3 linked regions of the Tribolium castaneum genome follow. The protein of the gene in region 1 purifies or fractionates together with the protein of each later gene. This does not show direct contact. Links are inferred from orthologs where the notes say so. Each region holds a gene or a part of one and is shown on either strand. Other genes may lie near its edges.

What was found.
Region 2: the proteins of CkIIbeta (region 1) and eIF3j purify together in Homo sapiens (co-immunoprecipitation; 3 studies listed by BioGRID and IntAct, with this or other methods). This does not show direct contact. The link is inferred for Tribolium castaneum from reciprocal best matches to the Homo sapiens genes CSNK2B and EIF3J.
Region 3: the proteins of CkIIbeta (region 1) and Zmynd8 purify together in Homo sapiens (affinity purification with mass spectrometry; 3 studies listed by BioGRID and IntAct, with this or other methods). This does not show direct contact. The link is inferred for Tribolium castaneum from reciprocal best matches to the Homo sapiens genes CSNK2B and ZMYND8.

Annotation. Positions count from the first base shown.
Region 1 is NC_087397.1:979,779-983,533, forward strand, and holds CkIIbeta (casein kinase II subunit beta), read left to right. Parts: upstream 1-1,374; 5' UTR 1,375-1,518; intron 1,519-1,726; 5' UTR 1,727-1,730; coding exon 1,731-1,802; intron 1,803-1,852; coding exon 1,853-1,955; intron 1,956-2,005; coding exon 2,006-2,197; intron 2,198-2,246; coding exon 2,247-2,436; intron 2,437-2,708; coding exon 2,709-2,817; 3' UTR 2,818-3,321; downstream 3,322-3,755. Other genes in the region: mitochondrial import inner membrane translocase subunit Tim17-B, read right to left, coding at 3,423-3,755. UniProt on the Homo sapiens protein: Regulatory subunit of casein kinase II/CK2.
Region 2 is NC_087396.1:21,287,077-21,290,329, forward strand, and holds eIF3j (eukaryotic translation initiation factor 3 subunit J), read right to left. Parts: upstream 2,023-3,253; 5' UTR 1,708-2,022; coding exon 1,695-1,707; intron 1,635-1,694; coding exon 1,549-1,634; intron 1,504-1,548; coding exon 1,396-1,503; intron 1,350-1,395; coding exon 1,052-1,349; intron 1,000-1,051; coding exon 863-999; intron 819-862; coding exon 768-818; 3' UTR 524-767; downstream 1-523. Other genes in the region: Srp54 (probable splicing factor, arginine/serine-rich 7), read left to right, coding at 2,283-3,253. UniProt on the Homo sapiens protein: Component of the eukaryotic translation initiation factor 3 (eIF-3) complex, which is required for several steps in the initiation of protein synthesis.
Region 3 is NC_087398.1:14,045,620-14,049,374, forward strand, and holds the start of Zmynd8 (MYND-type zinc finger-containing chromatin reader ZMYND8), read left to right. Parts: upstream 1-1,207; 5' UTR 1,208-1,423; intron 1,424-1,496; exon of another isoform or gene 1,497-1,509; 5' UTR 1,510-1,717; coding exon 1,718-2,194; intron 2,195-3,755. UniProt on the Homo sapiens protein: Chromatin reader that recognizes dual histone modifications such as histone H3.1 dimethylated at 'Lys-36' and histone H4 acetylated at 'Lys-16' (H3.1K36me2-H4K16ac) and histone H3 methylated at 'Lys-4' and histone H4 acetylated at 'Lys-14' (H3K4me1-H3K14ac).

The sequences.
Region 1 (3,755 bases):
CTCGAACTTTGTTTAAAAAATTAGATGTGGAGCGTCATCGTCTCACTGACATTGAATTAATTTTTGTAATTTCCTGCCGTCTTTCATACCCACTCAGCTTCAGAAAAACATCGTCGCACTAACACTGCAATTACAGTACAAGCGACAACAACCTTCCAATTAACTAAACACACCGTGGAAGAAAATGCAATGTATTATAACCACTTGTTTGTTTACAACACTCTCCCGCACAAGAGAATGAAGCCGAACAATAAATAATCTGCTACAACCTTGACTCGCAATTAACAATCACAATAAACCAATTACTACATTTTGGTGTAATTTAGCCTTTGTTTAAATAATGATAACAAAAGAGCCAGAATTTATTTATGAGTCAACAGTCTTCAAAAACCGCAACTAGCACGTCCCACTTGTGCAAGCAGATTTCTAAAAGTAGATTGGGTTTTCACTTTTCAACTAACAATAGGCGGTTAAAAGTTTATTGTCCGGTTCAAATGGAATTAAATGTCACTTAATAATTCGGGTGACGACGTCGCGGCGCCTAGGAAAGCCTTCGACTAGACCGGCCGTCTGCGCAAACTAAAAATAGGGAAATGATCCGATTTTCACTATTTTTATCTAGTTTTCACGGTTTTGGGTTACATAATGTCATCAAAAGAAAATTATTTATGGTTGACTATGTTTAGAGAGCGGAGCGCAAATCGGTCATTTTTATTTTCAGAAAAAAATTATAGTGTTTATACAGAGATTTTTATTGGAAACACATCCACACTTTTCGAAAAGTTGCAACAAACGTGCTGAACATTTTCAAAAAAAACTTTAATAAGCAGCTAAAAAGCTATCCTAATGAGCTCAAAAAAATAAATAAAAATAATAAAAATAATAATAATAATAATAATAATAATAATAATAATAATAATAATAATAATAATAATTTTGGAGAAAGAAGAATTGCTGATGTTAAAAAACGCTCTTAGCAGGTTTGAAAAGAAGTAATACATTAATGTAGAAGATTGTAGAAGATTTATAATGCCGGGCGGAGTCTTAAACTGCCTATTTTGAAAATGCCAAGTTGAAAAAAATCTTGGAAAAAGTCTCATTTAATAAGTTAAGACACACATGAATGCAAAAGTGCAAAAGTTATTACATAATATGTTGATTAATGAAGTTGATATGAAATTTTGATAACGGTACATTGTATTGAAAATAAAAAAAACATTTTATAAGTGAATATTTTTGATTAATTAATACTACTGTATGGATAGAAAAAAATACAGGGTGAGCGCGAGGGTGAGTTATTTTTGATTTTTTCTTGGATGCAACCCCGTTTGCGTGTGTGATAAGTTGTGCACGCCGTTCTGAGGTTTAACTGTAGTTAAAAAATCCCACTTGTAATTTTCAAACTTAGCGGTTAAAGCTGTCATTTAATGCCGTCACTTTCCGCTAGATGAGCCCAACATCAACTCTTTTTTCGCGTAGATGAAGTAGCGTAAGCGTGGCTAATCAAGGTACAAAGAGGTAAAATTCTCAAATATTTCTTTCCCCGATCACAATTTAGCCCTAATCTCGTCATTTGCCAACCCTCCACATCCCTTCTAAGCCCAAAAATGGGAAATTAACGTCGTAGTTGTGTCACAAATGTCATTAAACGTAATCTAAACATAGGGTTGGACAGCCACAACCGTCTCAAAATTCCAATTTTCTAAATAAATCGGAAATGTTTTAGGAAAATGAGCAGCTCAGAGGAGGTTTCGTGGATTTCATGGTTTTGCGGACTTAGAGGAAATGAATTCTTTTGCGAAGTAAATGAATTTGCCTGTTTTAAAGACGAGATTTTTGAGTGTATTTGCAGGTGGATGAGGATTATATACAGGACAAATTTAACTTGACGGGCTTGAATGAGCAAGTTCCGCACTACAGGCAAGCTCTTGATATGATACTAGACTTAGAACCGGGTATTTTGAACCCATCCCTGGTTTCACATTTTTTTAACTCGGCTTTTTAGATGATGAACTTGACGATAATCCGAACCAATCCGACCTGATTGAGCAAGCGGCCGAGATGCTTTATGGGTTAATACACGCTAGGTACATTTTAACAAATCGGGGGATCGCCCAAATGATTGAAAAATACCAGTCTGGGGATTTTGGGTATTGTCCACGAGTTTACTGCGAATCGCAGGCAATGCTGCCTTTGGGTAACCCCAACACTTTTGGTATTTTTTTGGGTAATGGTTTGTGCTTTAGGGCTGTCTGATGTACCTGGGGAGGCAATGGTCAAGTCATATTGCCCCAAATGTATGGATGTGTACACACCAAAGTCTTCAAGGCACCACCATACAGATGGGGCCTATTTTGGGACAGGTTTCCCTCACATGCTCTTCATGGTGCACCCAGAATACAGGCCAAAGCGTCCAACAAATCAATTTGTTCCTAGGTATAGCCGAACTGGCGTGAGTCTAATTGAAAGTCTGGTCAAGAGTGCTTGGCGAATTTAATATTGTCAGTTATCAAGTGACAACTGAGAAGTCAAAACCTACTTCATTTCGGAATTTTTGGGATGTTACGTATAATAATCCTCAATAACTTTACACGAAACGAAAAATTAGTCATTTTTTTATTTCGTTGTTTTTAAAGCATTGTCTTGACCCCGCTTTTATTTAGACTCACTTGATTTTTTTAGAATTGTTCTTCAACAAATGATTTCAGGTTATTTGGTTTTAAAATTCATCCCCTTGCTTACCAGTTGCAACAGCAAGCAGCCTCGACTTTTAAGGCGCCTCTGAGAAGTTTGAACTTTAATAATGGTAAACGTTAATTTAAAAGGTGTATACATTTGATTTAATTTATTTCTACCCCAAATTTGTGTATTCTTGTATGTATGAAATTAAATCTTGATTATTTTCTTTCATACTTTTGTATGGCGTTAACTTTGCATAAGGTTAAAAATGTGCAAAAATTCCATCATTTTTATAAATAGGGTTCAATGTATAATAAATTTCCCAGTTTTGTTTTTATAAATGTAAGGATAGTTTAATTTAGAAGCGTCACCGGTTTCGTGTAAAATTAACTAGCATTCAAGTTTGTAAATAACTGATTAAAAAATTCAGATGAGTTGGTGTGTCATGCCTGAGCTTAATTAGTAAATAGAGTGGTCAAAAGTCTGAATTTTTCAATCACACAGCGTAATCTAAGATGTATAAATAACACATTTTAAATAAAACATAGGAAGCAAACCTAGGTTCTGTATTTTTACTTAAGGTAATCACAACCAAGACTAAGTTATGAATTCGCATGTTATCAAATAAAATTTTCTGTTTTTCGTAAGAATCTTTATTTGACCCATTACATAAATAAAACACAGATCAAAATAAACTTATATTTACGCCTTAAACAAAAATTTATCTACAAACACACGCGCGCCTACTGGAACGAGTAGCCCCCGTTCTGTTGCCCCCTCAGCTGGGAGGGGTCCTCCATGGGGGGCATCTGCGGCTGGAACTGCTCCGCTGACAACCTAGTGAACAAAATCCCGACTCCTTCAATTAAAGCTAACAAAACGCCCCCAATGAAGGCGCTCCCGGCCATGGCCGGGAGCCCGTTTCTCGCCGCGAGGATGCCCCCAGTCGCGGCCCCACTTATAATGGAGTTCCAGGGGTCCTCCTTTTTCCTAATGTGGATTAGGGCGCAGTCAATTGTGGAGAACATGCCGCCCCAAACGGCAAAGTTGCCGGCGATTATAGGGGACCGTTGCTT
Region 2 (3,253 bases), on another chromosome or scaffold:
CGAGTAATTACAAAGGCGGGATTCTAATCAAGTGTGTGTGGCATGGTGGCAGCCCTGAGTCTAAAGACGCTTGCTTTTTATGACAAAAAAGTTAACATGGTGTTTGTGTTTAGTTTTAAAAAGTGTTTAAAATCGGGAAAAGTCTAATGAATCAGTGTTTACATAGTGTCATCGTGGAGGTAAGCACCAATTTTGCCATTTTTACAACAAATATTGTGATGAAACTCGGACAGGAATACCAACAACGGTACTTAAATATTCAACATTAAAATAGATTATGGTCTCAAAAAGTTTATAGAAGCGGGGTCCACTTGTTCTATAATAAATTTCAGCATAAATGTGTAATAATTACACGTCAGAACGGCGTAGACGGGATTTAAATTGCGTGCGTGTGGCAACTCTGTGTCTAAGACACTTGATTCTTTTTTAAATAAAACGCAATCATTTTTTTGAAAAATTATATTGATATTAACAATAATTGCATCAAATCCATTGAATACAACTTGTATGCAAATCCATACAATAATCGCCTTAAAATACAACTTCTATATCAGTAGCAACAAAAACCAGCAACTCATTAATTAATAATGACTCGTTACATTAGTATAGAAAAACACAAAACGGTGAAAAAAAAGTAAAAATTATTAACCATATTGCATGATCATTACACTACACCTTTTTAAAAATACCGTATAATTTAACAATATTTATATTTATCGAAGATATTTATTTAAAAATTAAAACCCTATCTAAACCGCTGCAATCTGCTACATAAAGTCGTCGTAATCGTCATAGTCGTTAACATACGCTGACAAAGGCTGCAAAAAAAATTAACCCAAACACTTGTAAAACCACAACTTACATTTCCATCATCCAGTCGTAATTTAGCCTTGCCTTTGCCTTTGTTTTTCTTCGATTTCTCGCCTTTCTCGATTTTTTGTTTCTCTAGGTATAAATTATCTAACGTATTTTTAATTTTCTTAATATCTAATGAGGACACTGCAAGAACATTCATCATTAACGCTGTTTTAAATTAAAACGAGAGACGTACAAGTGGCACACAGATTTCGTAGTAAGTTTTCGGTGAACACCGGATACTCTGTGCTTTTAGCTAGAGGTTGGAGCTTCTTAGAGAGAGCGTCTGTAAAGTCCTGAAACTCTTCTTTAGTAGTTGGCAGCGTGAGTCCGTCTAAACCTGAAATGTTTGTGCTATTGGTGTCGCCCCCAAACGTCGTTTCTAGCGCTATTTTCAAGTCCGATTCCTTCTGCATCCTGAGCTTCTCCTCCGGGGAGATTTCCTCCTCCTGTTGCTCCCTCAGCCTCCGCTCCATTTCTTCCTTCCTCTTTCTCTGAATAAGGAGAAATTAGATTTGTCACAACTATTGCGATACCCACTTCTTTCTCTGCGATTTTGTCAGCGATTGACTGCTTCTTGGGCTTGGGTTTGGCCTCCTCGGCAGGCGCCGCTTCCACCTTCTCCTCCTCCTCATCCTCCCAGCTTTCCTGCAGGAAAATGGTAAATTTTTGGCAGGAATTCACTCATTTTACCTTGACGTTGTCGTCTTCGTCCTCGCCTTCCCATTTGTTGGACGCAACCACAGGTGTAACAGATGGAGGTTCGAAGTTATCGTCGTCTGAAACAGCCCCATGTCAAATTTTCGCTCAAGTAGTGAAAGAATTGACTAAATTTTTACCCCACGATTCCATATTGGCGAAAATACGGCCGAAATTAGCACAAAACGACCTCAACCTCGAAATTCACGTGTGCTGAATAACGTGCAACTGCACCAGAAACCGCCAGATGACACTGTCAAAGTGTCACCAAACCAAACACTATCTTTTCTCGAAGCTTCCACAAGTACACCGATTTGTAGATGTATCAAACAATACGTTTCGGCTTTTTATGTCTCTTGCAAGATGAAAAGTCAGCGAAATCAGGCGAAGTTGAACAATTCACGAGCGAAAATAGCCCTCGAACACCCATCTCACCCTTGACAGAAACCAACTACGCCTGCCAACCGGCACACAATTAAGGCACCAAATTACAACCAAAGTGCAAGTTTTACAGGCTATTTAACGCCAAAGATTTTAAATAATTTGAAATTATCCTTTTGGGACAGTCATAAAAAGTTTTAATTAGGACGATTGGCCATAAATTGCTTTTTCACCGCGTTTTTCATCATTGAACAATAGTTGGCGACACTTGCTGTCATTTGACTTGTCAATGTGCGTCGTTTTACGTTTTTTAAACTCGTTGGAAAATGTTAAAATAGTGCGTGAAAATGGTCGTGGGTAACACTAAGGTGGTCCAGGTGACCAACATAGCCCCCCAGGCCACCAAGGACCAGATGCAGACGCTGTTCGGCTACTTGGGTAAAATCGAAGACATTCGCCTGTACCCCACGATTCGAGACGTCTCCTGTCCTGTCCAGTCCCGGATTTGTTACGTTAAATTCGTGGATTCCAGCACGGTAGGTGTAGCCCAACACATGACAAACACTGTTTTCATCGACCGGGCCCTAATTGTCATCCCTGTGATCAACGGGGACATCCCCGACGAGTACTACGCTCTGGAGATGACCCGTAACGGGACCATTGTCCCCGGGTTTAACGTAAACGAGCCAAAGTTGCCCCCACATGTCTCCAATTCGTTCCAAGGCACAGGCGAGGAACGCGTTGTTGTCACAAATGACCCCCATTTGACTGACAATGGCTGCGCCCCCTATCCCCCTTTGCCGGCCAAATACGACTCGATCAAAGTCGAGGAGACTCGTCGAACGGTCCAAGTGGTCAATATTGACCCCGCCATACCCACAGATGAGATAATCCAGTATTTTTCACAAGCCGGTGAAGTGAAGTATTTGAGAGTGTGTGAGTGCCCCAACGACAACACCACGCACATTTTGATCGAATTCACGGAACAGCCAAGCGTCGTGAACGCCATGAAAATGAACGGTGAAGAGTTCAAAGGCAAGCCGCTGGAAATCATTCACGCCACTCAACCAATCATGAAGCCCCAAGCCAAAAGTAACGAAGCCGCTCAGAAGGAAATTGAAGAAGCAATGTCTCGCTTTAAAGAGGCTCAAAACATGATCAATGCCTCGATTGAGCCAGTTATCGGAATGCTAACTAAAGATAAAAGGAGCTCGCGACGTTCCCGCTCAAGATCTAGAGGGCGTAGACGCCGCTCACGCTCAAGGTCACTCTCGCGTGGTTCACGTTCACGTCGTCGCCGTTCAACGTCACGTTCACG
Region 3 (3,755 bases), on another chromosome or scaffold:
GGCTTGCTTCAGCTTAGGCCCCATGTCTGCTCATGGTAACATCTGTTCTGAAAAGTGAGACGAAGTGAGCAATAAACATCTTTTTTACTGCAGACTAATCATTTTCTGGCCCCATTGCATTGTTGTCATGAAATATTACTTTAGTATATCTCCACAATTTCGCTTGGAAGAAAATAATGTTTGTCAGTTTAGGACGAAGCATAAAGGGTATTGGATGCGGAATCTTAGGCGAAAACATAATATTGAAAAAGGCTAACAGGACTTACTATTTTTACAATAATAATTCTCTCTATACCTACTGTTAAAAAACATGAGAAAGTGTTTATCGATGATTTTTTGTAATAATACATATTTTGTGACTCTACATTACATAAAAATTGATTATATTATTTTATAACCATTACGACCTGTAAACAGCTGTGGATGTATGGTGTGCAAGTTTAAGGATTTACAGGGATTTCGGGGATGTACTGGGAGTTTACCTTTATCTATAAATTTACACCACTGCGCAAGCCCAAAAGTTAAGACGCATGTCACCTGATTTCTAATGCTCTTGTGTAAATAAAACAAACTGAAGATTTATATTTCGTTTTTGAGTTAGGAGTGGTTTTATTTTAAAAACCTAAACCTAAAACGTTTAATTCTTAAACCAATTTAATTTAACAAAGGAGCATATCGATTAAGGGTAGTTTTTGACGAGTAGGTACTTGGAGTTTGTTTTGAAATTTCCCTTCACAGTAACCCACTAGTTTTTTGTTTAAATTAAATTGACTCTAAATCAGATATGTAGTACTACTATTAGAGTTCAAAATTGCAAAAATAAAACATCCCCCAATATATAAACGAATCGATAATCTTTTTTCACGGTTTGATAAGGTTTTTTGCAAGTTTTCAAAACTGTTACAAAACGTAGGGGATTTCATTTAAAATTTTGAAATAAGGGTAGCTAACAGCAGAGGTATAAAAGCTAAGGCGTTTGCACAAGGTACAGGAAGTATGGTGTTTAAGTTTAGATCTGCTGTTTATCCCTCGGATCATTATAAATTATAACACAGAATTCTTAAATTTTCTTTTAATTTTAATTCTAAGGCATATGCAATTTATAACTAAATAAATATTATTAAAATCAAGTATATGCAGTAACAACTGGGGACTTTTTCAAAGGTTGTGTCACGTGATACCTACGTCAGACACGATGTGAAGCCGTGACGTAAAGTTTCAAGAAAAAACCATGTGACCCACTTTTCCTTCCTCTCCCCTACACCAAACGCTGAACTCCAGTCAAGTTACATTAACATCAGCGCCCCCAACGGCAAATATTATAAATACAGTGGAAGTGTTGTGAATGTGATGCATTCTCTACTATCGATAATGCTGATTTTTCATCAATAATGAGCTTTTCCAATGAAAATTAAGCTAGACGGTGAGTAAAACCCCTTGCTACGACGATGTTTTCCAAGTCAGTCGCTCCAAACATGTGTAGAGCTAACAGAAAGGGTTTTATTCTAGGTTATGTAAATAAGAGCGAAGAAGTGTAGCGAGTTGCCGAAAGCCGGCTTTAGTGCTGAAAAGTGGCCGAATTTTCCTCCGAGCCCGCAATGAACCGCTTTCCACGGCTGTAAAACGCGCATTTCCCTTCCATTGTGCATCGAGTTCAAGTCGTTTGTAACCAAACAATACCAACTGTGCATTTGCTAGATCACTATAACCCACGACAATGTCCGAAAGCGAGCAGCTCGACCTTGCGCCGCCCCCGCCGCCGCCGCCGGAAGCCGAACCGCCCGCTCCACCTCCCGAGGAGCCCCAGAACGGCGACGACAAGCCCCCAACGCCGCCCGAGGAGCCCCCACCGCCAAGTGAGTCCCCTGACGACACCAGCACCCCCAAAACCAGCCGCGAGCTCAAATCCATTCTCGCTTTGTCTAAAGAGGCGAAGCTAGACACCAATCTGTCAACAAACAGACGCAAAACGCTAGACAAAGTCAAGGGCACGCCGAAAAAATCACCCAAAATGACGAGTTTTCCTGTTACAGCCGAGAGCGAGCTGGAAAATTACGACGTGAAAATCGACGAGAAAAAAGCGAAGAAACGAAAATCGAGCTTCGGAGGCGAAAGCGGGGCAGAGGGCGCCACCGCCGATGAGGCAAGGAGGGGGCTGCAGTTTTATAACAACGATTTTATCATGGCAAGGAAGGTAAGGCGGCTCAGAAATACACAAATTGTGTTCAAACTAGTGCTCATTTGAGCTATAAACAAGAAAAGTGGACGCAAGTGTTTGTAAAAAACGCCAACTTGTCACGATCGTGCGAGTGATAGTTGGCTGTGATTTGTTTTTCACACGTTGCACAAACTGTTCAAATGTCAACAAAAAAATATATTTTTACAATTAAATGGTGCTTGAAGCCTTTCTTGCCGTTTCCAGCAAAAGGCCCTGATCTAAAACAGGTTTCATTAACGTTGTATTACACAAAAAGTGTTATTACAGTTGTTGTCTCGAGTACAAGGTTGTAAATATACACCAAGCGCATGTTGGCATATTTTAGTTGTGTAAAATTAACAACTGTTTTTTAGATACTGCGCTAATATTTTACGTCACGTATTATGATAAGTAAAATTACAACTTTTTGTAAAATAGTTCATTCAACAAAAACGTAGATCTTCACTAATTTTAGATTATTTTGTGGTATGTAAGAACTTTGCCAATCACGTAACAAGTGACATCTACATTATTTTTATACAGAGTGTCTATAAAAAACATAGATGGATACTCTCTGTTTCAAAACTACGGAAGTGCCGCCGTTGCATTTTACCGAATTATTTGTTTTAATAAGTATATAAATTGCATTATGGTCCGGTTCAAACATTTAGCAACAGCTGTCAATTTTTAAAACTAATTTTCGCTTTGAATTCTCTTGGCTCTATCGCTGGGATTCTATTTAACACTGAATTATTTCACAGAAACTCTCAATTTGTGCTCTATTCTACTAAAAAAAATGCAAAGGCGCTGTTGCCATTTTCTACTAAGAACTGAAATGAGACAGCTATTAATTTTTTGAAGTGCAAATGAATAATTTATAAGAAGAGAAAATGTGACGTTGGTATTTCCATAGTTTTGAAACGGAGAACAAGTGATATGAAAATTTTAGAAATATGGTTTTGATGTATTTAATGAAATGACTGCACACTTAAAATTAACCAATTTAACACAAAATAACACGGAAACACAGAAAGTTTTAATTTGACTATAACTTTAAAATAGCAAGTAGACTAGAATCATATTCATCCCGTCACCTAATAGAACAAATGATAGTTGTACCTGAACAAAAGCACTTTACGACTATTAATGAAGCTCTCAGGTTTTTGAAAATTCTACCTTCAAGGGGGTTAAACAGGGGCTAAATTTTATATAAAAAATCTTTTTTTTTTTAATTTGAACTATGGAAAATTAGTATTTGGGCTTTTGCTTAAAAATGAAAAACTTGTTTTAGGTTTTTTGGAAATTCCACTTGTAGAGGGTTCAATATGAAAATTCGACATTTTTGAAGATATACAAGGTGTTTACGAAGTTGAGATGTTTCTTTTAACACGAGGCTCTATGCATTATTCTTCATAGTTTTAGCCTAAATCGTCTTAATAAAATGTTTTTATTAACGGAGATAATGTTAAGTTTTTCTAAAATTTTGACTCCGGTCTTGTCTAAAAATTTCGGGCACTTTTAACATTTCATTGTCAAGAAGGATAGGGAATTACACACG